Linked DNA regions of Macaca fascicularis. The protein of the gene in region 2 interacts with the protein of the main gene of each other region in a biochemical or structural test. Links are inferred from orthologs where the notes say so. Each region holds a gene or a part of one and is shown on either strand. Other genes may lie near its edges.

What was found.
Region 1: the proteins of HIF1A (region 2) and MTA1 form a complex in vitro, tested with the Homo sapiens proteins (2 studies listed by BioGRID). The link is inferred for Macaca fascicularis from reciprocal best matches to the Homo sapiens genes HIF1A and MTA1.
Region 3: the proteins of HIF1A (region 2) and HSP90AA1 form a complex in vitro, tested with the Homo sapiens proteins (4 studies listed by BioGRID and IntAct, with this or other methods). The link is inferred for Macaca fascicularis from reciprocal best matches to the Homo sapiens genes HIF1A and HSP90AA1.
Region 4: of the proteins of HIF1A (region 2) and MAPK1, one has a biochemical effect on the other in vitro, tested with the Homo sapiens proteins (3 studies listed by BioGRID). The link is inferred for Macaca fascicularis from reciprocal best matches to the Homo sapiens genes HIF1A and MAPK1.
Region 5: the proteins of HIF1A (region 2) and EGLN2 form a complex in vitro, tested with the Homo sapiens proteins (3 studies listed by BioGRID, with this or other methods). The link is inferred for Macaca fascicularis from reciprocal best matches to the Homo sapiens genes HIF1A and EGLN2.
Region 6: the proteins of HIF1A (region 2) and EGLN3 form a complex in vitro, tested with the Homo sapiens proteins (5 studies listed by BioGRID, with this or other methods). The link is inferred for Macaca fascicularis from reciprocal best matches to the Homo sapiens genes HIF1A and EGLN3.
Region 7: the proteins of HIF1A (region 2) and EPO form a complex in vitro, tested with the Homo sapiens proteins (2 studies listed by BioGRID). The link is inferred for Macaca fascicularis from reciprocal best matches to the Homo sapiens genes HIF1A and EPO.

What each region holds. Positions count from the first base shown.
Region 1 is NC_088381.1:173,653,187-173,656,686, forward strand, and holds part of MTA1 (metastasis-associated protein MTA1), read left to right. Parts: intron 1-397; coding exon 398-513; intron 514-781; coding exon 782-933; intron 934-1,038; coding exon 1,039-1,228; intron 1,229-1,455; coding exon 1,456-1,545; intron 1,546-2,791; coding exon 2,792-2,944; intron 2,945-3,097; coding exon 3,098-3,133; exon of another isoform or gene 3,134-3,500. UniProt on the Homo sapiens protein: Transcriptional coregulator which can act as both a transcriptional corepressor and coactivator. Acts as a component of the histone deacetylase NuRD complex which participates in the remodeling of chromatin.
Region 2 is NC_088381.1:129,572,753-129,576,252, forward strand, and holds part of HIF1A (hypoxia-inducible factor 1-alpha), read left to right. Parts: intron 1-893; coding exon 894-1,041; intron 1,042-3,500.
Region 3 is NC_088381.1:170,187,694-170,191,715, reverse strand, and holds the start of HSP90AA1 (heat shock protein HSP 90-alpha), read left to right. Parts: upstream 1-1,222; 5' UTR 1,223-1,281; intron 1,282-1,879; coding exon 1,880-2,041; intron 2,042-2,130; coding exon 2,131-2,497; intron 2,498-2,817; coding exon 2,818-2,951; intron 2,952-3,245; coding exon 3,246-3,566; intron 3,567-3,681; coding exon 3,682-3,847; intron 3,848-4,022. UniProt on the Homo sapiens protein: Molecular chaperone that promotes the maturation, structural maintenance and proper regulation of specific target proteins involved for instance in cell cycle control and signal transduction.
Region 4 is NC_088384.1:31,257,621-31,261,642, forward strand, and holds the start of MAPK1 (mitogen-activated protein kinase 1), read left to right. Parts: upstream 1-1,222; 5' UTR 1,223-1,430; coding exon 1,431-1,549; intron 1,550-4,022. UniProt on the Homo sapiens protein: Serine/threonine kinase which acts as an essential component of the MAP kinase signal transduction pathway. MAPK1/ERK2 and MAPK3/ERK1 are the 2 MAPKs which play an important role in the MAPK/ERK cascade.
Region 5 is NC_088393.1:47,914,023-47,918,276, reverse strand, and holds the start of EGLN2 (prolyl hydroxylase EGLN2), read right to left. Parts: upstream 2,801-4,254; 5' UTR 2,708-2,800; intron 2,622-2,707; exon of another isoform or gene 2,435-2,621; intron 1,475-2,434; 5' UTR 1,244-1,474; coding exon 407-1,243; intron 1-406. UniProt on the Homo sapiens protein: Prolyl hydroxylase that mediates hydroxylation of proline residues in target proteins, such as ATF4, IKBKB, CEP192 and HIF1A. Target proteins are preferentially recognized via a LXXLAP motif.
Region 6 is NC_088381.1:101,740,303-101,743,802, reverse strand, and holds part of EGLN3 (prolyl hydroxylase EGLN3), read left to right. Parts: intron 1-2,853; coding exon 2,854-2,973; intron 2,974-3,500. UniProt on the Homo sapiens protein: Prolyl hydroxylase that mediates hydroxylation of proline residues in target proteins, such as PKM, TELO2, ATF4 and HIF1A. Target proteins are preferentially recognized via a LXXLAP motif.
Region 7 is NC_088377.1:49,317,185-49,321,174, forward strand, and holds the start of EPO (erythropoietin precursor), read left to right. Parts: upstream 1-1,190; 5' UTR 1,191-1,409; coding exon 1,410-1,422; intron 1,423-1,998; coding exon 1,999-2,144; intron 2,145-2,402; coding exon 2,403-2,489; intron 2,490-3,073; coding exon 3,074-3,253; intron 3,254-3,384; coding exon of another isoform or gene 3,385-3,387; coding exon 3,388-3,540; 3' UTR 3,541-3,990. UniProt on the Homo sapiens protein: Hormone involved in the regulation of erythrocyte proliferation and differentiation and the maintenance of a physiological level of circulating erythrocyte mass.

The DNA.
Region 1 (3,500 bases), about 44 Mb from region 2:
GGTGCCGGGGCCAGGCGGGTCCCGAGGAAACTCAGGCTCAGAGGCTGGGAAAGTTAGGGCAGCCCCTGTGAGGGCGGCGCAGGGCTGGGGGGTTCTGGCTGCAGACGCGATGGCCGTGTCTCCGTCGTCCTGGCCTCCTGGTCAGTAAGGGGGCATTGGGATTCCAACCCACACCGCCAGGGTTCAGTCCCTGAGCTGGGCTCCATGCTAGGGGGAGCACGGGGGCCTGGAAAACAGCTCAGACCTCAGCAGTGGCTCCCAGGAACTGCTGAGGCCGAGGGGGGTGCGAGGACATGGTTCTGGACGAGGGGTGATCAGCCGCGGTGCGTGCTGGGCAGATGGGCCCTTGAGGTTTGTGCTCCTGCAACTCCTCTCTTCTCTCCTTTATCTCTTTAAGTAACAAGCCAAATCCGAACCAAATCAGCGTCAACAACGTCAAGGCCGGTGTGGTGAATGGCACGGGAGCACCGGGCCAGAGCCCTGGCGCTGGCCGGGCCTGCGAGAGCTGTTACAGTAAGTGCCCTGGATGGCCGGGGGCACACCGCACACCCGCCTGTGGGCCGTGGTGCCTGTGTTGGCCCTGAGGGCTCCAGCGTGGCCCAGCCTGGGAGGGGCCCACTGATGATGGGGGGCTGCGTCCCAGGGATGTGGTTGGGAGAGCCTTGGGGAATGTGCGGCGGTGCCTGGCGGGTGGGGCGGCCGGCGTGGGGGTGGTGGGGAATACTCTGACATCGCTGGTTCTGCTTAAGAATCCGTCTATTTCCAACTTTGTTGTCCGTAGCCACACAGTCTTACCAGTGGTATTCTTGGGGTCCCCCTAACATGCAGTGTCGTCTCTGCGCATCTTGTTGGACATATTGGAAGAAATATGGTGGCTTGAAAATGCCAACCCGGTTAGATGGAGAGAGGCCAGGACCAAACCGCAGTAACATGGTAAGGGGGGGACATCCGCCCTGCCTGCCGCGAGTGTGTCAGCCCTGCGGGTCCTCGGCCCCCGGTCATGGCACTGTGTCGGGGCGGTTATGCCCCCTTCCGCAGAGTCCCCACGGCCTCCCAGCCCGGAGCAGCGGGAGCCCCAAGTTCGCCATGAAGACCAGGCAGGCCTTCTATCTGCACACAACGAAGCTGACACGGATCGCCCGGCGCCTGTGCCGTGAGATCCTGCGCCCATGGCATGCCGCGCGGCACCCCTACCTGCCCATCAACAGCGCGGCCATCAAGGCCGAGTGTGAGTCATCCCAACGCCCCGCTCACTCTGTTGCTGCAGGCAGTGGGGAGGGAACAGCAACCTTGGGGCCCAGCCTGTAGCCCCACTGGGAGTTCTCATCTCAGGGAGCCCCATTTCCTCCTTGGTGCTGACGGCCGAGCGCAGTGAGGGCTCCCAGGTCAAGGCGCAGGCAGGGTCCCGTGCTCCCTGGGGATGCCCCACCCCTCACACTGTGTGGTACCCCGCAGGCACGGCGCGGCTGCCCGAAGCCTCCCAGAGCCCACTGGTGCTGAAGCAGGCGGTGCGCAAGCCGCTGGAAGCCGTGCTCCGGTATCTTGGTGAGCAGTCCAGGCGCGATGGGGGCTCCTAATGCTGCCTGCAGGCAGCTTCTGACCCAAGCTGATGCACTGGTGCTCCCAGCCTTCTCTAGCTAGGAGCTCCTGGACAGCCCCACAGGGCCTGGAACTGTCCTTTTGAGGTACTCTGCCCCGTGCCAGGCTCAGGCCGACCCACTGGGACCCCGGCTGCTTTCTGCTCCTGGGGTCTTGACGGGGCCCAGTGCAGAGTGGCTGCCGCCCTGTCTTCTGCGGGACCAGCCTCCTCAAGGCACACCCAGGGGGCTTCCCTGCCAGCCTCGCTACCGTTCCCTGTGTTCTGATCGTCCCTGGAGCCTGAGGGTGTAGGGTTTGGGCAGCGCACACCCCTGCCTGTAATGCCACTAAGGCAGGGTTGCACCTGCTGCCTACAGGGAGCATATTCCCGAGCCATGCCCACTCCACAGGGGCAGCACTCAGGCCTCTGTAGGCCCTCGGCAGGGGGAGGTGCACACCTGGCAAGCAGCCTCAGGCAGGGGTTCCCTTATCTTTGAGGGTCTGAGGATACCTGAGAACCTCAGCCAGCTACCCTGGCCCAGCCAGAAGCAGCTTGGGGGCTGGGCCAGACATTTGTGGTGGCGGTGGGGGGCCTCCCCCATTTGCTGGGCTCGAGTGGGCTTGTGTATCTGCTCTCCTGACACAGGGTGACTGTCCTGAGAAGGACATTCCAGAGCCATGAACCACGTGTGCTCTGCGATTCAAGTGGCTTTGGCATTGCTCCCTGTTTGGGGTCGTGGCCCCTGTCCTGTGGGAAGAGGTGGCTGGTATCAGGGCTGGTCCTCAGCAGCTGTGTCCCTGGCCAGGCTGGCTGGATGGTCGGTTCGCTGTCTGACCAGCAGCCAGCCCTCCACCAGCAGCTCCGGAGGCCTGGACATGGGGGCTGTTGAATAGGTGTTGTGCTCACGGGCCTGTGTATGGATCCTGTTGTGCGGGGGTGAGGGGCCTGGCCCCTGCCAGGTGGTCTCCCTGCTCTCTAGGTGCAGGATTGGCCTGGGCACACGTCTTGCGGGAGAGCACTTGGTGCTCCTGGGCTCCTGGCTCTGTGGTGACCTCCCTGCTTCCAGCCCAGTCAGGATGGGGCCTCAGGGGTGGGGGCCGCGTGGAGCTTGGTTCCTGGTCGTATCCCAGAACCATGAGGGCTGGAGCCTGGGCCTGCCTGCCTATCCCCTGCCAGGCAGAGGCGACTCGCTCTGCCTGTCATTCCTGGCAGAGACCCACCCCCGTCCCCCGAAGCCTGACCCCGTGAAGAGTGTGTCCAGCGTGCTCAGCAGCCTGACGCCCGCCAAGGCGGCCCCTGTCATCAACAACGGCTCCCCCACCATCCTGGGCAAGCGCAGCTATGAGCAGCACAACGGGGTGGACGGTGAGTGGCCCCCTCGCCCGGTGAATCCGGGCCTGCCCCACCCGGTGAGTGTGGCCCTCCCCGCCCGGTGAGTCCGGCCCGCCCCCGCCCGGGGCACCCGCGGTGCGTGCTGACGCTGTCTTCTCTCCCTCTCTCCCACCCCGGCGCTGCCAGGCAACATGAAGAAGCGCCTCTTGATGCCCAGTAGGGGTAAGGCCTGGGGCCGCGGGCGGGCGCTGCGCCAGCCCCGCCCGTGATGCCTGTGCTGTGCTGCTGAGTGTGTCCCCGCGGCGGGCGGCCCAGGGCCCATGCTTGGGGCAGTCCACGTGAGCCCGGCCACAGCCCAGTCCCCCACGTTCCTCCTGACATCACTGGTCCCTTGGTGAAGACCCCCTGAGCCCAGGCATCTGGCCCTCGGCCCCCTGGCCCCACACCCTGTCAGTGGACTGTCCTGGCACGTGTGGCCCTGGCGCCCCTGCCTGCGCTGTCTGCCATCGCGCTGTGACTGCCCGCATGCTGCCAGCCTCAGCTCCTGGGGCCGCCCGTGCTGTGCCTGCAATCCTTTCGTGCGCCTGCC
Region 2 (3,500 bases):
TGTATTTTTAGTATAGACGGGGTTTCGCAATATTGACCTGGCTGTTCTCAAACTCCTGACCTCAGGTTATCCACCTGCCCTGGTACCTGGCCTCTTTTAGTTACTTTAAAATGTACGATTAAATTGTTTTTGACTATAGTCACCCTTAACAAGTACCTTTGACATAAGATTTGATTCTGAATTTTACTCAAATGAATGTTAAGATCCCAAGGTAAGTTAAACTTTGGACTATCTCACCTGTTTAATCTGTACCTATGCATGACTTCTGACTGTGATTGAGGATACCTGAATATCACTGAGTTTGTGTGATTGATGAGCCTTGAACTCAAGAGTAAATCCAAGTCTGCAGTCAGGACCCCCCAATCCTCAAAATAATACCATCATTAGGATTTATTCAGTACTTTCTCCCAAATCAATATTTAATTTAAATTGCCTAAATTGCCGAAAGACTTACAATGTGGTATCAATTTATATTTAAATATGCTACGTACAGCTTTTTAAAGTATCTTTGGTTCTCTGGAAACTTTAGTCAGAATTTAAGGAAGTTATTGTGGCACCATTTTCTTGAAAAAGGCTACTGATTATTCTCTAATCTTACACTTTCAACCTAAGTCATTAAAGGAATTTTAGTTACTGAAGATTGTATATTCATGAACTCTTCACTTAGCTCATTGGCAGCAAAGGAGTTTTATTTAGGGGATTTGAAAAAGGAAATGGGTATATTTTCAGCTATTCTGGGACACACTGTCTGAATTTAAGCAGTTACAACTGATTCCACTAAATAAACATTTGTTTTCTAAAACAATGATCAACATTCAGCATCTGTTCATTTAATTGAAAATTCAAAGTTACAATATTTTCTTTGCATGATTCTTTTTCCTTTTCCCCCCTAGTGTTTACTAAAGGACAAGTCACCACAGGACAGTACAGGATGCTTGCCAAAAGAGGTGGATATGTCTGGGTTGAAACTCAAGCAACTGTTATATATAACACCAAGAACTCTCAACCACAGTGCATTGTATGTGTGAATTATGTTGTGAGGTAAGTTTGAGAAATAAACGTTTTTGGGGAATAAATAGTGATTCTTTTTGGATACTCTGTTCATTTATAGGAAGATAAGATTATAAATATTAACTAAATTTTAATTTTTTTTTTTTTTTTTTTTTTTTTGAGACAGAGTCTTGCTTTGTCACCCAGGCTAGAGTGCAGTGGCCGGATCTCAGCTCACTGCAAGCTCCGCCTCCCAGGTTCACGCCATTCGCCTGCCTCAGCCTGCCACGTAGCTGGGACTACAGGCGCCTGCCACCTCGCCTGGCTACTTTTTTGTATGTTTTAGTAGAGACGGCGTTTCACCGTGTTAGCCAGGATGGTCTCGATCTCCTGACCTCGTGATCCGCCCGTCTCGGCCTCCCAAAGTGCTGGGATTACAGGCTTGAGCCACCGCGCCCGGCCAAATTTTAATTCTTTTACATCTCTACCAAATTATTATTTTCTGTACTCTGACCTAGGTTTCCAGTCCAGCTATTCTACAGTGATACCACTAAATACTGTCAGTAGTTGTCTATCCCCATACCTTCACTCCTATTTTTAAAAAGACCATGAAAAAAACACCAGATCCATCGACTGGTTTGGTCTACTTATACAGGTATTGGCATATATTATCTCAAGACAGCTCTGTTCTTTTTGTAGGAAGAATACTGACCTACGTTTGTATCATAGCTCTAGCACTCATTAGCTCCCTGACCTTGGGGAAGTCTCTTCATTTTTCTGAATTTCATCTATGTAGATAATCGTTCAGAAGGTTATAATGAAAAGTAAATGAAATTCTATGAGATTAATAAGCTGTATGATGTAATACATGGCTCTTGTATATTCATGAACTTTTCACTTAGCTCTTTGGCTTGTGAATATTATGTACATCACAATTTAATCTTTAATTTGATCTATTTTACCAGACTCCTGCCCCATCTAGTCTACCTGTCCACATTATTACCACCTTCTAGTCCACCTTGCCCATTACTGCCAGGCTAAGCTTTCTAGTGTGGATATCTCATCATCTTATTTTCCTTAGAATTTTAGTGATCTTTTTATCACTTCCAAGATAAACACTTGCCTAGGTGTATAGCATCCTTGTTTACCATCATACTCATGCATCAGAGATTTAGCCTTCCCTTTAAAATCTAGGGTCACCCCTCTTAGGAAGACTTTGGCCAGTTTTTATTTTTGCCACTTCTGACACCATCCTTTAATGTTTTTATATTAGTGCCACAGAGTTCTTTTGTGACTTTACCATTATGTATGAATCTTCCACTTGGAATGTCTTTCTCTTCCTCACACCCCAGTCTGCCTAGCAAATGCCACTTGATCCCAAGTACCAGCTCGTTAGCTTCTCAGTGAAGCAAGCCTTCTCTATTTTAGCAGTTATCACAGTGTATTTTAATTGTTTACATATCTACTTTCACACTGGGTTATAAATTTCTTAAGGTCAATCTTTGGTTCTTAAGGTTAATCTTTGCATTCTCAGTTCATCTCAGATAGTGAACATTTAATATGTTAATTAAAGGAGTAATTTACATTTAAGCCACTCGTGAAGATAAACTGCTGCTCATCATCCCTCTTCAACCCTGTCCTGTAGGTGGTATCACCTTATGTTCTTACCACCAAAGAAAATATGGCCCCTCTCTTAGGACTATCCTTAGATCATGCCTCATATATTGATGCCAAAGAGTTCTTTTGTGCCAATTTCATAACGTGTGTCAGCACAACAATTCTGAAGATTTGTTGGTGTCCTTCATGTACTTGACTACAAATTGCCTTGTCATCATCACTCTTCCCAAAGGATATCTGAAATTCTTTCTTTCTTTTTTTTTTTTTTTGTGAGACGGAGTCTCACTCTGTCGCCCAGGCTGGAGTGCAGTGGCGTGATCTTGGCTCACTCCACCTCCTGAGCTCAAGCAATTCTCGTGCCTCAGCCTCTCAGGTAGCTGGGACTACAGACGTGCACCACCACACCGGGTTAATTTTTTGTATTTTTAGTAGAGACAGGGTTTTGCCATGTTGGCCAGGCTCTTGAACTCCCAGGCTCAAGCGACCCATCTGCCTCAGCCTCCCAAAGTGCTGGGATTACAGGCATGAGCCACTGTGCCCAGTCTAGATATCTGAAATTCTTAACTGAAATTAGTCAAATTATCTTGTACTGGGAATTTTTTTTTTAATTTCAACTTTTATATTTGATTCAGGAGATACATACATAGGTTTGTTACATGGGTATATCATGTGATGCTGAGGTTTGGGGTACAATTGATCCTGTCACCCAGATAGTGAGCATAATACCCAACAGTTGTTCAACCCTTGCCCCTCTCTCCTAGTAGTCCTCAGTGTCTGTTGATGCCATCTTTATGTCCACAAGTAACCCAATGTTTAGCTCCCACTTACAAGTGACAGCATGCAGCATTTGGTTTTCTGTGTCTGGGTTATCTCACTTAGGATAATGGTCTCTG
Region 3 (4,022 bases), about 41 Mb from region 2:
GTCTAAGGATCCCCAACACCTCCAAGGTTCTCATAGCTGGCCTTGACCAAAATATCTGAAAATTCTCATGTAGAAACTGGTTCTTCCAGCCTGAGCAACATGGTGAAACCCCAACTATACAAATAAATACAAAAACTAGCCGGGTGTGGTGTCCGCGCTTGTGGTCCTCCGCCCGCGCTCGTCCCAGTTACTCGGAAAGCTGAGGTGGGAGGATCACCTGAGCCCGGGAGGTCGAAGCTGCGGTGAGCCAAGATTGTGCCACAGCACCCCAGCCTGGGCGACAGAGGGACAGCCTGTCCAAAAACAAAAAAACACCAAACCTGTCTTTTAGGGAAGGTTAATCACCAAAATGTCAAGTGTTAGATACTTAATTTGGAGACCTCAAATCGATCGGCAAAACGATGGGCTTTTAAAAAGCATGCCGGGTGTAGCTGGGTAAGCATGAATTTATTCACCAAGGGCCCGATTCCCAAGCTAAGGGATCCTGAAGTGTGAAGGACATGGCTTCCGGGGAACCCAAAGGTAGGGAGCGCTCCTGAGCCAGCAGTGGGTCTGGAGACTCCCCGAGCGCGCAGGCCGCGGGACGGCGTCCCCTGCGCGCAGCAGCTAGAAGCCAACAGCCCAAAGGCCCCCAGGGAGCAGAGCCCCGCGATCCCGGCGCCGCCTGCGGCTGGGTTTTTTGGCAGCGGGCGCGCCGTCCGTGAGGATGACGGCTCCGGTAGTTTCCCAGGCGTGCGAGACCCGGGGCGCTCCCCGTCCACGCACGGCCCTCCCTCCAGGCGCGCCTCCCGCCCCAGCCCCGCATTCTGCGCAGCCCGGGTGACCAAACTACACCTCACTTCAAAGGCCCCCACGCCCGGGCGTGCCCTCCGCCCGCGCTCGGCAGGTGGGAGTGCAGGGAAGAGAGCGCGGGCGGCCCCAGAAGGCGCCCGGACCTTCCCGAGAATTCCAGGCCGCGCAGGCGCATTGAGGTCGGCGCGGGGGCGTGCGAGAGGCGCGGGGCGGTGATTGAGGGAAGGTTTCCCGGGCTGGGCCACGAGCAGGGCCTGCGCGCGCCAGCGGGAGGGGCGGGCCACGGCGAGGGCGAGGGCGCAGGCGCAGGCGCGCGGCCGCGGCGGCGGTTGGGGAGGGTTCTTCCGGAAGGTTCGGGAGGCTTCTGGAAAAAGCGCCGCGCGCTGGGCGGGCCCGTCGCTATATAAGGCAGGCGCGGGGGCGGCGCGTCAGTTGCTTCAGCGTCTTGGTGCTGCTGTGCGGTGGAACGTTTGCAGCCTTTTAGCCAAGGTGTGAGGGGCGGTTGTGAGGGCCTGTGGAGGTGGATTGGGGAGTGGGGGCGGTTGGCGCGGAGCGGAGGCTGTGGGGGCCGAACGGGAGCCCTGAACCCGCCAGGGCCGCTCTCCCGGGAGGCCGCGCTGCCTATTCCGGAGGCCGTGGGCCCGCTGCTGTCTCCGCAGCCCGCCTCAGGAATGGGCTGGGCGGCTGCTCCCCGAGGCTCCGCGGCAGCCCCGGAGCTGGCGCCGCACGCGAGCAGAGCGGCCCTTTGGCTGGGGGCCCCCCGGGCGGCCCAGCTGGGGCGCAGGCGGAGGAGGCCGCCCTGGCGGAGCCGCGGCCCGCGCGGGAGAGCACACGGGGTGTCGGTTGGGGACCGCGGCGCGGGACTGGGCCGGGCCTGCAGTGGCCTCCCGGAAGCGCGCACACGCTCGTGGTAGTTACCGCGCTCCGAAATGAGGTCATCCTTTGTCAGCCGCCCTTCTATTTTCGGTTTACTTAAACTTCGCAAATCTGCAATCCGGCTTTAAAAATATTGGGAGGACGCGATGGAATCTCGTGTTGCCCCTGTAGACGCTCTGCAGGGTTTTAAACCGGCGCGGTGTCGTTCCAGATGCCTGAGGAAACGCAGACCCAGGACCAACCGATGGAGGAGGAGGAGGTTGAGACGTTCGCCTTTCAGGCAGAAATTGCCCAGTTGATGTCATTGATTATCAATACTTTTTATTCGAACAAAGAGATCTTTCTAAGAGAGCTAATTTCAAATTCATCAGATGTAAGTCGTTTATTAACCCAGAATAGGATTTTGGTTTCAATATGAACTTCTTGGGGGCTGTATGCTTAATTAATATTTTGTGTTAATAGGCATTGGACAAAATCCGCTATGAGAGCTTGACGGATCCCAGTAAATTAGACTCTGGGAAAGAGCTGCATATTAACCTGATACCAAATAAACAAGATCGAACCCTCACTATTGTGGATACTGGAATTGGGATGACCAAGGCTGACTTGATCAATAACCTTGGTACTATCGCCAAGTCTGGGACCAAAGCGTTCATGGAAGCTTTGCAGGCTGGTGCAGATATCTCCATGATTGGCCAGTTCGGTGTTGGTTTTTATTCTGCTTATTTGGTTGCTGAGAAAGTAACTGTGATCACCAAACATAACGATGATGAGCAGTACGCCTGGGAGTCCTCAGCAGGGGGATCATTTACAGTGAGGACAGACACAGGTAGGTACCTGAACACTCACTGGTTAAGTCAGTGGCGGAATGGTGGGGTGTTGCAACCCTTGGACCCCTGGGGATGCGGCGAAGTTCACAGAAAGTGTGTTTACCCAAGGATCAGGAACAAGCTAGAGCTCTGAATTAGTGTGTAATGGCATGACTTGGTGATTACTTCTTTTGGGCAAGGCACTTAGATCTGCTGTGGGAGCCTTTGCATCTGTAGTAAGGGCAAACCTCGCTTCATAGACACGTTATAAGGGTTAAGCATGGCGTTGAGCACTAAATTGAATGTATTATTGAGTCAATTTTCCTTATTTCTCTTGCAGGTGAACCTATGGGTCGTGGAACAAAGGTTATCCTACACCTGAAAGAAGACCAAACTGAGTACTTGGAGGAACGAAGAATAAAGGAGATTGTGAAGAAACATTCTCAGTTTATTGGATATCCCATTACTCTTTTTGTAAGTTTCTACATAATTGCAGAGTGAATTACTGTCTGTAGGTGACTGGGGTGACTGTACTACATCCTTAGTTCCTAGGTCTGTTGAACTAGTCTGAAGCCTGGGGAACCTAAGCTCTACTAACTGTGAAGGTTCCTCGGGTTATTAAGTAGATATATCAAATATTGATGAGAAGCTGCCTGGCTGCTTCTCATCCTCGGTAATTTAGGCTTTGGCCTTAGGTTGAAAGTAGTGGGGCAGCGCTATGACTTAGTTCTAGAGTGCAGCAGTGATGCGATTTCATGTCTTTTGAAGGTGGAGAAGGAACGTGATAAAGAAGTCAGCGATGATGAGGCTGAAGAAAAAGAAGACAAAGAAGAAGAAAAAGAAAAAGAAGAGAAAGAGTCTGAAGACAAACCTGAAATTGAAGATGTTGGTTCTGATGAGGAAGAAGAAGAAAAGAAGGATGGTGACAAGAAGAAGAAAAAGAAGATTAAGGAGAAGTACATCGATCAAGAAGAACTCAACAAAACAAAACCCATCTGGACCAGAAATCCCGACGATATTACTAATGAGGAGTACGGAGAATTCTACAAGAGCTTGACCAATGACTGGGAAGATCACTTGGCAGTGAAGGTGAGTGAGGGACTGATGGATGCTTCAAGCTTGTCTTTAGATTATCATCCCACCACCCCAAATATCTGCTATAATGCATTGTTCATTGATACTTAGTGTGTTTGTTCTATTACAGCATTTTTCAGTTGAAGGGCAGTTGGAATTCAGAGCCCTTCTATTTGTCCCACGACGTGCTCCTTTTGACCTGTTTGAAAACAGAAAGAAAAAGAACAACATCAAATTGTATGTACGCAGAGTTTTCATCATGGATAACTGTGAGGAGCTAATCCCTGAATATCTGAGTAAGTATAGATAGGAAAAATAATCACTGTCACTGATTAAAGAAATACTTCTGGCTGGGCATGGTGGCTCACACCTGTAATCCTAGCAGTTTGGGAACCCGGGGTGTGCGGATCACTTGAGGTCAGGAGTTCAAGACAAGCCTGGCCAACATGGTGAAACTCCATCTCTCCTGAA
Region 4 (4,022 bases), on a different chromosome or scaffold from region 2:
CTGTTGCCCAGCCTGGAGTGCAGTGGCGCGGCTCACCATAACCTCCTCCTCCCAGGTTCAAGCGATTCTCCTGCCTCAGCCTCCCGTGTAGCTGGGATTACAGGCACCCACCACCACGCCAAGCTAATTTTTGTATTATTATTATTTTGTTTTCGAGACGGAGTCTTGCTCTGTCGCCCAGGCTGAAGTGCAGTGAGGCGATCTCGGCTCACTGCAACCTCCGCCTCCCGTGTTCAAGCCATCCTCCTGCCTCAGCCTCCCAAGTAACTGGGATAACAGGCGCCCGCCACCGCGCCCAGTTAAATTTTATATTTTTAGTAGAGACGGGGTTTTACCATGTTGGCCAGGCTGGTTTTGAACTCCTGATCTCGTGATCCGCCCGCCTCAGTTTCCCAAAGTGCTGGGATTACAGGCATGAGCCACCTCGCCCGGACTTAATTTTTGTATTTTCAGTAGAGACCTGGTCTCAAACTCCTGATCTCAAGTGATCCGCCCGCCTTGGCCTCCCAAAGTGACAGGCGTGAGACACCGCACCCTCCCTTCTGCTCTGTACTTCTTCAACGTACTTATCACAACTTGAGTATTACACGTATTTGTCTGTCTGTCTCTCTCTAAAAAGTAACTCCCAGGAACATGGAGTGTGCTCAACAAACATCTGAACCAACCTGATTCGCGTATCCTCTCTGTCTCCTTTTAATCTCAACAATTGTGTTTCACACTTTCTCAGTATGCAAATATCTTTCTCGGTCTGGGGTCATGCCTTTCGGTTTCTGCCCCAGTGCCAAGGCCTCTTAAGTTCATCAGCGTGTGGACCACGGATTCGCAGAGGCCTGAGCTGTGGCGCGGCCGGGCTATGGCGCGTCGTCGGGCCTCAAGCACAGCCCCTTGTCCCTCGCTGGCTCTGTTCGGTACTTCCTCGGGTGCTCGCCCGGGCCCCTGCCATCTCTCACTTCAGCCCCGTGGGTTCTGCCCCACGTCTGTCTCCCTGGGTGTCTGAAGAGACAAGTCCCGCGCCGACGCCCCCGCGAACGCACGTGACCGCGCCCGGTGGTGCCCCCTTAGTCAACGCCGCGCAGTGCCCCTCCCGGAGCCCGCCGCTTCCGCTGGGCCGCGCGGCCCCGCCCCCAGCCGCTAGGAACCAATCCGCATGCACGCTGCTTGGCCCCGCCCGGGCACCCTTCTCGGCGCGCGCCCCTCCCTGCGCCCGCCCGCCGGCCCGCCCGTCAGTCTGGCAGGCAGGCAGGCAGTCGGTCCGAGTTGTCGTGGGCTCTTCAGGTCTGCCACACGGCGTCTTCTTTCCTCCTCCCGGTCAGCGGCGGCGGCTGCACCGGCGGCGGCACAGTCCCTTCAGGAGGGGCGATAGAAGCTGAGCGGCGGCCGCCGAGCGTCGAGCTCAGCGCGGCGGAGGCGGCGGCGGCCCGGCAGCCAACATGGCGGCGGCGGCGGCGGCGGGCGCGGGCCCGGAGATGGTCCGCGGGCAGGTGTTCGACGTGGGACCGCGCTACACCAACCTCTCGTACATCGGCGAGGGTGCCTACGGCATGGTGTGGTGAGTGTCCGCGCCCGGCCACGCCCGGCCCCCCCGCCGCCCGGGGCCGCAGCGGACGCAGCCTCGGCCTCGCCGGCGCCTCGGCCTCGGGCGCCGCGGCGACCTCGAACCCGGACTTCACTGCGGTCCGCGCGCCAGGGCTCGGGCGGGGCCCTGGGCCGGTTGAGGTTTAGGTGGTGTTGCTCTCGCGCTTCCCGGGCCGGCGGTCGCTCGGGAAGGGGCGCAGCGTGGGGGGCGGGGGGCGGAGGCCGGGACTAGTGGACCCTCGGCCCCGGGCGCAGCGCCGCCTTTAAAGTCTGGACCCTCGGGAAGGCAACGGAAGCGCCTCCACCCCCCAATTTGCTAGTATCATGGCCTTCTTTTGGACTTTCGATTGTAAAACCGGGAATTCCATCAGATGCTTGTCGGTGTTGGCGGCGGTGGCTGCTGAGGTCCTGAAAGCGGTTCGCCTCCGTGTGTGTGCAGAACACCGAAATAATTTTTCTCTCCTCGCCTCTGTTTGCAGCCAACGGCTTTCATTAACTGTCCTCAGCGGTGCTAATGGTGGTCTCCGCGCAGGCTTTCTAAAATGGATTACTGACACCAGTGTTGGTGGAGTATTTCCGTCTTGAAGTTTGTACTTTCAAGTGGATTTTAATATCGTACTGCTAGCGTTTCAGGAAGGATAAACCAACATTACTCTCTTCATTTATTAAAGATCCATTTAGAGTTGGGCCTAATTTGACTTTTTTTTAGCCCCCAAGTGAGCTCTTTTACCAGCATAAATGCTCCCAGATGTTTTAGCCCAATTGCTATGGACTCCTGTTAATGATTTAGTGGTCATTATGTATGCAGCCTTAATGGAGTTATTGCAGAATCACGTGTAGACTCCCTCATCTTGATTCAGGTCCCTTAGAAAAGTGAAATGATAGTGACGGTTTTTCTTTCTCTCTTTTTTTTGAGACGGGGTCTCGCTCTGTTGCCCAGGCTGAAGTGCAGTGGCGCGATCTCTGTTCACTTCAACCTCCGCCTCCTAGGTTCAAGCGATTCTCTTGCCTCAGCCTCCCTAGTAGCTGAGACTGCAGGCGCGCGCCACCACGCCCGGCTAATTTTTGTATTTTTTAGTAGAGACAGGGTGTCACCATGTTGACCCGGATGGTCTCGATCTATTGATCTAGTGATCCGCCCGTCTCGGCCTCCCAAAGTGCTGGGATTACAGGCGTGAGCCACCGCGCCCCGCTGACGGTATTGTTTTTATTAAAGCAAACTAGCGGTAGCATTTTGTGCTGGTGAGGACTTGTGGAAATAGATTTCCTTAAATCTGAATCTTGTGAATGTGTCTTTTGTGTTGACTGAAGGAAGTAAACTAATAATTTATTGAGCACTTCGTGGCAGGTACTGTGCTACATATATTATTTCATTTTATTTGAACAGCCACATTGAGGGAGGAAAAGATGGTGTTATTCCTTTTTTCAGGTGAGAAAGTGTTTCGAGGTGAAGCCAATTCCTGAGGTCATAGAACTAGAGTTATTAAGATTGTAGACTGAGATTCTACTAGACACACTGCAGCTCTTTTCAGCTGTCTTTAGGAAAACACTCTGCGTTCCTTAGTGTAATTAATACTTGCAGAATTTTCTGTATCTTACTGTTACAAAGTAAATACAAGTCTGTTTCAGAAATGTATTCAAATTTCAATCATCATAATTTTAGAAATGCCATAGAAGGCATGTTTTACCAAGTATGGTAGCTAGACAGAAAGATTAGTTAAAATTCTTTTAAAAGAGACTTTAATTGAATCTTTAATGTTTTCACTTTCTTTAGGAGCAAAATGCTGAATACAACTGTGAAAATTAATATGAACTTACAGGCTTAGGAGCCAAGAGAGAATTTAAATTAGGTCGAGCCTAAAAGAAGTAAGGCCCTGAAAAGTAATGAAGAGAAAGTATTGCCAGTAGCATTATTTCTCCACCATACATCTCATTGCTGTTGCACTCACTGGGAAGCGTGCCAGTGAACATGTCTCATTATGAGAGGCTCAGAATTTCCCATCACATCCTTTGGCCCTTTTAACAAGATTAGCTTATCTAAAATGTGGACTGAAAAAAGTCTTTTACGTTTAGGACATGTCAATTGAAAAGATACCCCCATCTGATAAGATTTCTCCTGTCTGATAAGGTTTTTATTAGTCTGAAGTTATTTAGATGTGGGAACCACTTCTGTCACTGCTGTAGGCTTATTTGACCATCTGACTCTCCATTTGAAATGCTAAGTCCTCTTTTTGTGATTTTCTTTTCCTAAGTGAAATACAAATATAATTGGAATTTGAATCCTAGATCCAGATTATAGCCTTTTATCAGGTTGATGACATACCCTGCTGTTAACCTTCTCCATTGCACGTTATTAGCATTTAATAAATGTTGGCTAGCAGTGCTGGGTTTATGGAGGGCTTGTTGAAATATTCACTAATATTTGAATAGTGATCTTTTAAAAAATG
Region 5 (4,254 bases), on a different chromosome or scaffold from region 2:
GGACAGGGACAGACAGCAACAGAGGACGGACAAGTGAACTGTGTGCCTGTCTACATCACTGCGCTTGGTCTGGGGCCCCAGACAGACACCAGGAGGCCATGAACCCCACCAAGGCCCATGCTGTGAATGTCAGCAACTCTCGTGAGTTTCTTCAAGAGGGTTCCTGGCAAAGTCAAGAACCACTGTGGCTCCAGGACAAACTCCTAGCTTACAGGTGCACACATTAAGGCCCACAGGGAGGACAAGGCCCCCCCCAAGTCCCCACAAGTGAGCAACCCACTCCACTGAACTGCCTAAACCCAGAAGCCCCCCAGAAGCCTGTCTCCAAACCCACTGTGCTCAGAGCACTGAATGCCAAACCAGGATGCTGCAAAGCCCCGCCAGAGAGGCCCCCACCTGGCCTTACCTTGGTGCGCCCATTGATGACATAGCTGCCCAGCCGCCCTGCGCAGTGGCGGATGACGGCGTCCACGTGGGCCATGAGGGCACCAATGCTTCGGCAGCCTGCTTCATGGCCTTCCACCCAGGCAATCTGGTCCCCACGGATGCTGCGCGGCGGGATCGCCCGCTGGCTCACTAGCTGCCCGTCTCGCAGGCGCCCACCCCGTTTGAGGGCCTCCACCTCGGCCAGCACGCGGCCGCCCAGCGCTGCCCCCAGGAAGCTGTCCTTGACGCAGATGCCGTAGTACCGCATGCAGGGCACGATATAGTCCAGGGCCAGGCGCTCAGGTGCAGAGGGCAGCACCTCCTCCATCAGCCCAGCACTGGCCTCACCACTGCCACTGCTGCAGCCGCAGCTCATGCCACCCTCCCGCTCTGCCTCCTGGTTCTCTTGCCTGGCCCAGGGCCGCTTGCTGGGTGAAGGGGCATCCCCACCATCCTCGGCCCATTTCCGTTTGGGGGCCTCAGGCCGGGCGCCCTGGGCTGCCAGTCGCTGGCACCCCTTGGTGACCAGCGCTGCAGCGCCTTCACTCTGCAGCGGCCGCAGCTCACCACCATCCTGCCCGCCAAAACCGTCCCGAAGGGGGCTGGCAGTGGTAGAGGTGGCTGTAGCTCTGGGAGTCCCACTCCCCGCTGAGGCCTCACCAGGCACTCCTGGACAGTGGTAGGAGGGGAGCAGGGGACAGGGCAGGTAACTCTCCACCCCCATCCTGGCCCGGCCAGGCTCCAAGGGCTCTGACGAAGACCCTGGTAACTGAGGGAGAGCCTGACTTAGGGGCTGCGACTGGCACGGGCTGTCCATGGCAGCAGTGTCTTCATCCCCCGGGCATGGAGGGCACCGCCCGGGCCCATGGTGCCACCCTCCTCCGCCTCCTCCTCTGCCTCTTGATGCAGCTGGGGGCCACCAGGCCTGGCGTGGGGCAGGGTGAGGCAGGGCAGACAGCAAGAGCTCTTCTCGTGCCCTGGGGGTTGCTTGCTGGTCCCCAAGTCCTCTGCCGTCCCTAAGGGCTTGGGAAGGGACCCTTCAGGGTGGCTAGAAAAAAGAAAAGGGATGTGAGAGGAGCTAGAGACAGGCAGGCTAGGGAAAGAGGGGATGGCATGGGCAGGAGTGGGGAAGACGACCAGGACAGACTATAGAGGTCCCCCAAAACCTGGGGCCAAGTCGGGGAGAAGACCCTGAGAATCTGGAGGTGTGAGAGTCCGCTGACAGACAAGGGACAGTGATAGGGAAAGGCTGGAGGCCAGAGGCTGGGTAGACGACCCTAACACAGAGGACTGTGGTGCGGGTTGTGGGACGCGGTAACCAAAGACAGAGAAAGGAGGGCTGGAGTAGAAAAGGGTGGTGTGGAGGAGTGGGAAGGAGGGAGTTTGGAAAATAGGAGGGATCTGCCTCGGCGTTCCAGAGACAGACAGATAAATGTGGGGGATTCTGAGAGAATCAGAGTTGGGGGCGGGGGGGTCAAAAGACAGAGGAAACTGGGGAGTCCAAAGACAAAGAGAACGAGGGACCCAGAGACAGAAAAACAGACCGGAGGGAAGCTGGGAGGGAAGCTGGGAGGGAGGGCCCGGGACGGAGCGGGGCGGTAGGGTCGACCCGAGCCCGACGGGAGGAAGCCGGCCGGGGGCGGACACACGCCCAGACGGAAGGGAGGTCCCGAGACTGACCGAAGGGAGGGGCCCTCGGGGAGAGGGTCCGCGGCGGCAGAGGGAAGGACGGAAGAGGGTGCACGCACCCGGAGACAGGACGAGGGAAAAAGGCACCCTCCTCCGGGGCACCCCCACGCCCCCAACCCCGGGCGGGCCCTGAGGCCACTTTGGAGAGCTGTAGCGACAGGGACAGGGCCTAGGGGCCGCTCGGACCCCCTCCCCTCCCCCTCCCCGCGGCCTCCGCCCGGCGCGCGCTCCCCGCCCCCACCCCAACCCCCCCAACGGCCGGCACCCAACGTCCCCGGCGCGCGTCCCCTCCCCCGCGCCGCACCCACATCCCCCTTACCGGGGTCGCCCTGGCAGGCCCCGGCGGGCGCCCCCACACCCCGCCCTGTTCGTGTCGGCGCCCCGGCTCCGACTCAGTCTCCTCCCGCTCCCTTCTCGCCCCGCGACCTCCTCACCAAGCTTTTTCCTCCGGCCCCGGCGCCGCCGTTTGTGCCAGCCGCCCTGCGCCGCACAGCGCGCCATACCCCGCCCCCACCGCGCGCGACGCCCCGCCCCGCCTCGCCCGTTGGGCACGTGACCGCGCCCCAACGGAGGCAACGGCGCCTGCGCAGACCTGAGCCGCGCTGGGCGAGGAAGTTCGGGACAAGCCCCCAGCCAAGGAGAAAGGAAACAGGGCTCCGTGGCCGACACGAGGTTCATTTGCATCATCCTCCGCCCCGCCCCCTTTGCGCGGGAGGGGGATCGCAGTGTGAGGGGCCGGGTCTGGGAGGGGGCGTTTCCTGCATGTTGGAATCAAGTGGCGTTGGCGGGGCGGAGCACGCAAATTATGTGATTTACATGAACAGGCCCACCCCGCGTTCCCCCCCAGCGCGGGCACCGGGTTCGGCAGCGCGGTGCGCGTGACTTCATTTACAGGGTCAGCTCCTCCTCCTCCTCGCAGCCCAGGAACGGGGGTGAGAGATGGATAAATGGCTGCGCAGTTAGTTGGCAAATGTATGTAAATTCGCACGTCAGTAATTTACATAAGTATCTTTTATAACGGAGGAGAAAAAGTGCGGGATGCCCTTGAGAAAAGGGAACGCGGACTAGAAGGGATGTTGTGCCAATGTGTATTTTCAAGACCCGCTCCGCCCTGCCCCCTCGGGACAATCGTGGGAATCAGAATAAAGAACCAGGGAAAGTCTGGGCAACAGAGTGAGACCTTATCTTTACACAAAATTAAAAAATGAAACAAAAAAAATCCACGGAACGCTACAGAGCTGGGAACATTTTGGGGGACGAAGGAATATAAGGTCATTTTGAATGCCCCGCCCCCTCCACCGTAACTCTGGAGAGCTGGGACTCAAGGCTCCCGCGGGGTCGGTAAGGCGGACGCGGAGGTGGGAGGGCGACGAGCAACTGGGAGTGTCTTCAGGGGGCTGCACCAGTCCCCAGCAGGCCACCTGAGGGCGTAGGGCGGTTCGGGTGAGCACAAGGACATGCATACTGGTATCTACACATGCGTGAGGATTGCACAAAAACCCACAGTCCTCAGGGCACACACAGGGTTCATGGCCACACAAGGGTGTTTCTTGTTTAGTTTTGTTTTTGAGATGGGGTCTTACCCTTCTGCCCAGGCTGAAGTGCTGTGGCACGATCACAGTTCACTGCAGGCCCAACCTCCCAACTAAAGTGATCCTCACAACTCAGCTTCCGGTGTAGCTGGGACTTCAGGTGTGTACCATGACACCTGGCTAACTTTTTCTGTTTTTTATTTTTGTAGATAGGGTCTCTCTGTGTTGCCCAGGCTAGTCTCCAACTCCTGGGCTCAAGTGATCCATCTGCCTTGGCCTCCCAAAGTGCTGGGATTACAGGCATGAGCCACCACACCTGGCCACACATGGGTGTTTAAAAGGAGCCAAATTCACACCGAAACACACACAGACCTCAGAGGCACACATGCACAGGCACACAAGCGGTAGTGAGTCACTGCCTCTGATTCTCAGGCATCAGGCATGCACAGACCGGAGGCCCACCTATAGGTCCAAATTCCCATCCCTTGGCCTTGATGTCCCAAACAATACCAGCCTCACCAATACACTCACCAATACAATCACCAAGGCCACAGAGCAGTTACAGCTATCAGCATCACACACAACCAGCACACATTCCTATAGACAT
Region 6 (3,500 bases), about 28 Mb from region 2:
AGTTTTAGAAAATAAAAAAGCCTGTACTAAAGTAGGCATCCTCTTGACATGTGTCAGTTTATTGCTTGGCATGTTTGTTATATGATCATTAAATTGTTCTGGCCCGTTCTTTTAACAATACAGCATTGAAGACTTCTCTTCTGTTAAACACTAAATCCCTTCCCCGGCTTGATGAGGTTTAGATAGCAACTCAGTTGGACGGATCTGCTTCCGGAGTTTGTTACTGCCCCGTGCACAAATTGGCACAGAAGTGAATGGCTAGTTATTGAAGTCAGGCTTGCTTCTTGGTGCATCCTTAGCCTCATGGTTTTAGACCCTGTCAAAGACGAGCAAATAGTTGGGAATGTGCCCAAGCAAAGACCCATCTCCTATGGCACTCATCCAGAAAACACACTGATAAAATTGGCCGAATGTAGCCTCAACTGGCCCACTGATGCTTGAAATGATTTCCTTCCATTGTTTCCAACTTGATGCATGTGGTTTCTGGAACCAGGAGAGAGGGTGAATATTCACTCTGGCCAGAAAAATTATCTCTGTTCCTCCCTCTTAAGCAGACAGATACTTTGCTGACATGTAGGGGTTTTGTCCTAATAGTAAGTCCTCTGGAATTGGCTGTTTGTCTCTGTGTGTTTTATAGATGCAGCATTTAGTAGAGGGTGTACTTTTGTGAGTTTGTATCCATCTTTTTTTTTTTTTTCCCCAATATTTTAATCTGAGCTGAGTTCTGAGGCAGAGAAACACTCCTTAATGACCTGAAGAACGATGTTGCTTTTTCAAGGGTTGATGCTTAGATCAAGTCTTAGATCTTCTTGGGCCTTTGACAGATGTGTAACCCAATCCCCTCTTTATAGGAAAGAGACAGCCTGGGATCACAGTTAGTTGCAGAGTGAACTATGGTAGGCATCCAGACCACTGACCTTTTCCTTAGAGAAGAGCTGTTTCAGCATATAAGATTATAGCATTGATGTCGTACTTTTTCTTTTCAGACACACTCAGTGGGGGGAGCGTGAGATAATAGTGAATCCAGCCTGTAATTGTTTGTGGCTTAAGCGACTTTCATTATTGGCTCTGTGGTGGCTCTTATAATCCTAATAGCTGCTTCCAGGGGTGGGTAATTCTGTAGTCATTATAGGTGACTTTATTTATCTCTTCTTCTCTTGCTAGGCCCTTCAATTCTGTTTGCTACCAATCACCCTTCCTCAAGCCATGCTTTGCTTAGTGGTACCTTCATTTGTTAAACCTTTATTGCTGATGTTGCCTCACAGTTTCACCTTCTGAAAGATGCTCAAGCTAACAGCCTAACTTGAGCTCTAAGGATGACATTGCATTGACATTTTCATGTTCAAAGGCAGGATATGGGGATTGTTTGCTGCATGAGGATATGGAGTTTGAGGGAGATGGTGATTTAAGATTTAAAATTGTTGTGAAGTCAAGTTACTATTCAGCCTTATTGTCGATCTGGTATGCACGATCTAGTATGCAAGGTGTGTGATGCCTAGTTCCATGTCATAGGAGCAGTAGTTTCATGCTACTATTGAGAGTGACTCGGCAGCCACGTTCAAGTTGATTCATTGAACCACTAGCCCATTAGCTTGGGGCTGTACTCAAATGGTCATTTTACCGATGAAGCAATGCTGCCATTTATCAGGAAATCTATGGACTGGATCCTTACATGTATGTTTGAAGATAGGTCTTTTAAAATGACAGAAATAGCTATTGATCTTGGTAAAACGTGAATTTACTCTTTAGAGAAAGAGCCATTCACTAGTTCATTGATTTATTTATCACATTTTAGATGGATACCTTCTATATGTCAGGCACTGTCCTAGGTGCTAAGAATACATCAGTGAGTAGAATAGGAAAAAAATTCCCTGTTCTCATCTTATGTTGTTGGTTCCAATATTTTCCTTGCACCTACTGCATCCCTATAAAAAATATTGTTAAAACATGGCAGTATCCTGTGAAGAAAAGAACTGGCTTTCTGTACTTTGCCTTCTTCCCTCTCCCCACTCTCTGTTACAGTTTTTCCCATGGAACAATTAGAGGTTTGTTTTCTCTAATAGTAATTTTCAGTAGGATTTTTGGTATGGCTTTCTACTTTATTCCTCCACCTGATTGATACAGGTAGCAGTTAGACAAAGAGAGCTTCAGATTATCACCTGATTTGATAATTATTAGGAAGAAGACATGCATTAAGAAACACATATTAAGATACATGCATGGCTTTTTTCCTGAAAGGAATCTCCCTGTATTGTCTTTGTTAACAAGTTAGGGCGTGGCTTCCTATTGATCTTCCTCTGTTCCTTCTATCCTAAGCATTTTATTGAGTAAGCCTGACCTTTTCCTCCTTTGGTGATTGGTTCTGTCACTTTGTGTATGCAAGTACCTTTAGCCATTGTTCTGAAACAGTGTGAGTGATTCAGGGGCACTTGCTAAACAGTCATAATCCTTAAGCTCCACACCTAGTGACTCTGATTTTGTAGGTCTAGCATGGGAAACTAGAAACTGCTTTTCTAAAAACGAGTATTGAAGAAAGGCAGGGCATCCAAATAGGTTATGCAAATAGGGCATGTAGTTAGGTTACTTTAAGAAAGACTGTGTAAAATGTTCTAGAACTTTGGGAATATTGTTGAACTACTTTCTACTGGACAGAGCCATAGTATGACCTGGCCATTACTCTTATGCACAGAAGGGTCCAAATTTATGTACCATACATGAAATTAAGAAGCCAGCAACTACCTGTAAATGTCACATAGCACCCAAGGAGACTGTGTTACTTATCTGCTCACCAGTGGGAGGAGAAGATTGTCTGTCTCAGCTTTGTTAACCAGCTTTCTTGGGATTTCTCCATAGGCAATGGTGGCTTGCTATCCGGGAAATGGAACAGGTTATGTTCGCCATGTGGACAACCCCAACGGTGATGGTCGCTGCATCACCTGCATCTACTATCTGAACAAGAATTGGGATGCCAAGGTACTCTTGAATAATGGGAGTAGAGTGTGGGGTTAAAAACTATAGGAAAATGATTCAGATAACTTAGAGGAGAGTTTATATTGGGTTCATAGTTGCCCTATCTCCCACTGATGAAACATTTCTATTTCCACTTCATAACCTCCTGCGACAGTGGAATTAGTACTAAAGTTGTTAAGAAGAAAATAATGAAGTTAATTTGAAGGGGGATAGGTAGGGTGATTATTAACCCTACCTCTGAGAAGGGTGGTTGATGAAGAGAAGGTAATTTGATATTAGAATTAATGATTAATTTTTTTCAGTTTAAATCAGAGTTGCTCTGACTCTCAATGCAGAATAAGATGTACACTTTTCCCTCCCAGAAGCAGCATTGGGAAAGTTCCACAAAAATAGAACTGTAGGATATAAAACCATCCCCAAGAGAGATTTCCCACACAGTCCTCTCCCTCAGGGTGATATGTCTCATTGATCGCTGCTTGCCATGGCTTACTATGGTTTGTGAATGCCAAAGGCTTTGTGGCTTATTTTTG
Region 7 (3,990 bases), on a different chromosome or scaffold from region 2:
GTTTCACCACACCCATTTGACAGATGAGGACATTGAGGGCTCAAGGACGAGGCCACTTTCTAAGGTGTGAGAGGTCAGTTAGTCTTGGTCTCCTGCTCTGGGAATCTCACCCATCTGGCTCAGGGCTTTCAGAAGCCATAAAACCTTAGCTGTAAATCCCAGCCCCCATCACTCTTGGTGTTAGCTGTATTTCAGCGTTCTTAAGAACTCGGCCATGCAGCCTAGCTAACCTACACCACAGGTCAAATAAACAGATGTCAAGGTGCATGTGTAGCCTGCACAATGGACTGTGTGCTCTGTGCACTAAAAGTTAAGTGTCTGGGGTGGGGGCTGGGTGCGGTGGCTCACGCCTGTAATCCCAACACTTTGAGAGGCCGAAGAGGGCTGATCACCTGAGATCAGGAGTTCAAGACCAGCATGGGCAACATGGCAAAACCCCATCTCTACTAAAAATACAAAACATAGCCGGGTGTAAAGGTGCGCCTGTAGTCCCAGCTACTCCGGAGGCTGAGGCAGGATAATTGCTTGAATCCAGGAGGCAGAGTTGTAGTGAGTGGAGATGGCACCACTGCACTGCCTGGGCAACAGAGGGAGGCTACGCCTCAAGAAAAATAAAAACAAAAAAAAACTTAAGTGTCTGGGTTTGCAGAGTCCTAGACAGTGAGGAATGGGGTAGGGAGGAAGAACCCCAAATTTCTTGCCCTATTTGCCCCCATCAAATTCCTCAACATGGTTAACATTGTTTCTAGAACATGTCCTGGGATTGTGGGAAGGGAGACCACCCATTTGCCCGTCCCTGAAGCTTCTGGGCTTCCGGACCCAGGTACTTCGCGGGAACCCAGCAACCCAGGCATCTCTGAGTCTCCGCCCAAGACCGGGATGCCCCCCAGGGGAGGTGTCCAGGAGCCCAGCCTTTCCCAGATAGCACGCTCCGCCCGTCCCGAGGGTGCGCACCCGGCTGCACTCCCCTCCCGGGACCCAGGGCCCGGGAGCAGGCCCCATGACCAGCACGGGCCGTCTGCAGCAGCCCCGCTCACGCCCCAGCGAGCCTCAACCCAGGCGTCCTGCCCCCTGCTCTGACCCCGGGTGGCCCCTACCCTTGGCGACCCCTCACGCACACAGCCTCTCCCCCACCCCCACCCGCGCACGCACACATGCAGATAACAGCCCCGACCCCCGGCCGGAGCCGCAGAGTCCCTGGGCCACCCCGGTCGCTCGCTGCGTGCGTCCCGGAGCCGGACCGGGGCCACCGCGCCGGCTCTGCTCCGATCCCGCGCCCCCTGGACAGCCGCCCTCTCCTCCAGGCCCGTGGGGCTGGCCCTGCCCCGCTGAACTTCCCGGGATGAGGACTCCCGGTGTGGTCACCGGGCGCGCCCTAGGTCGCTGAGGGACCCCGGCCAGGCGCGGAGATGGGGGTGCACGGTGAGTACTCGCGGGCTGGGCGCTCCCGCCCACCCGGGTCCCTGTTTGAGCGGGGATTTAGCGCCCGGGCTATTAGCCGGGAGGTGGCCGGGTTCAAGGACCGGCGACTTGTCAAGGACCCCGGAAGGGGGAGGGGGTGGGGCAGCCTCCACGTGCCAGCGGGGACTTGGGGGAGTCCTTGGGGATGGCAAAAACCTGACCTGTGACGGGAACACAGTTTGGGAGTGGAGGGGAAGAAGGTTTGGGGGGTTCTGCTGTGCCAGTGGAGAGCAAGCTGATAAGCTGATAACCTGGGGGCTGGAGCCACCACGTATCTGCCGTATCTGCCCGAGGGAAAGCCTCTGTCACACCAGGATTGAAGTTTGGCCGGAGAAGTGGATGCTGGTAGCTGGGGGTAGGGTGTGCACACCGCAGCAGGATTGAATGAAGGCCAGGGAGACAGCACCTGAGTGCTTGCATGGTTGGGGACAGTAAGGACGAGCTGGGACAGAGGCGTGGGGATGAAGGAAGCTGTCCTCCCACAGCCACCCTTCTCCTTCCTCCCCGCCTGACTCTCAGCCTGACTCTGTCTTCTAGAATGTCCTGCCTGGCTGTGGCTTCTCCTGTCTCTGCTGTCGCTCCCTCTGGGCCTCCCAGTCCCGGGCGCCCCACCACGCCTCATCTGTGACAGCCGAGTCCTGGAGAGGTACCTCTTGGAGGCCAAGGAGGCCGAGAATGTCACGGTGAGACCCCTTTCCCAGCACTTTCCACAGAACTCACACTCAGGGCTTCAGGGAACTCCTCCCAGATCCAGGAACCTGGCACTTGGTTTGGGGTGGAGGTGGGAAGCTAGGTACTGCCCCCCTACATAAGAACAAGTCTGGTGGCCCCAAACCATACCTGGAAACTAGGCAAAGAGCAAAGCCAGCGGGTCCTGTGGCCTGTGGGCCAGGGTTAGAGCCCTCAGGGACCCTTAAGTCCCCGGGCTGTGTGCATTTCAGATGGGCTGTTCCGAAAGCTGCAGCTTGAATGAGAATATCACCGTCCCAGACACCAAAGTTAACTTCTATGCCTGGAAGAGGATGGAGGTGAGTTCCTTTTTTTTTTTTTTTTCCCTTTCTTTTGGAGAATCTCATTTTGCGAGCCTGATAAGATGGAAGGGAGAATGATGGAGGGAAAGGTAAAATGGAGCAGCAGAGATGAGGCTGCATGGGCGCAGAGGCTCACATCTGTAATCCCAGGGTTTTGAGAGGCCGAGATGGGAGAATTGCTTGAGCCCTGGAGTTTCAGACCGACCTGGGCAGCATAGTGAGATCCCCCATGTCTACAAACATTTAAAAAAATTAGTCAGGAGAGGTGGTGCATGGTGGTAATCCCAGATACTCGGGAGGCTGAAGCGGGAGGATCACTTGAGCCCAGGAATTTGAGGCTGCAGGGAGCTGTGATCACACTACTTCACTACAGCCTCAGTGATGGAGTGAGGCCCTGTCTCAAAAAAGAAAAGAAAAAAGAAAAGTAATGAGGGCTGTATGGAATACGTTCATTCATTCATTCATTTATTCAAGTCTTATTGCATACTTTCTGTTTGCTCAGCTTGGTGCTTGGGGCTGCTGAGGGGCAGGAGGGAGAGGGTGGCGTGGGTCAGCTGACTCCCAGAGTCCACTCCCTGTAGGTCGGGCAGCAGGCTGTAGAAGTCTGGCAGGGCCTGGCCCTGCTCTCAGAAGCTGTCCTGCGGGGCCAGGCTGTGTTGGCCAACTCTTCCCAGCCTTTCGAGCCCCTGCAGCTGCACATGGATAAAGCCATCAGTGGCCTTCGCAGCATCACCACTCTGCTTCGGGCGCTGGGAGCCCAGGTGAGTAGGAGCGGACACTTCTGCTTGCCCTTTCTGTAAGAAGGGGAGAAGGGTCTTGCTAAGGAGTACAGGAATTGTCCGTATTCCTTCCCGTTCTGCGGTACTGCAGTGACCTGTTTTCTCCTTGGCAGCAGGAAGCCATCTCCCTCCCAGATGCGGCCTCGGCTGCTCCACTCCGAACCATCACTGCTGACACTTTCTGCAAACTCTTCCGAGTCTACTCCAATTTCCTCCGGGGAAAGCTGAAGCTGTACACGGGGGAGGCCTGCAGGAGAGGGGACAGATGACCAGGTGCGTCCAGCTGGGCACATCCACCACCTCCCTCACCAACACTGCCTGTGCCACACCCTCCCTCACCACTCCCGAACCCCATCGAGGGGCTCTCAGCTAAGCGCCAGCCTGTCCCATGGACACTCCAGTGCCAGCAATGACATCTCAGGGGCCAGAGGAACTGTCCAGAGCACAACTCTGAGATCTAAGGATGTCGCAGGGCCAACTTGAGGGCCCAGAGCAGGAAGCATTCAGAGAGCAGCTTTAAACTCAGGAGCAGAGACAATGCTGGGAAAACACCTGAGCTCACTCGGCCACCTGCAAAATTTGATGCCAGGACACGCTTTGGAGGCAATTTACCTGTTTTTGCACCTACCATCAGGGACAGGATGACCTGGAGAACTTAGGTGGCAAGCTGTGACTTCTCCAGGCCTCACGGGCACTCCCTTGGTGGCAAGAGCCCCCTT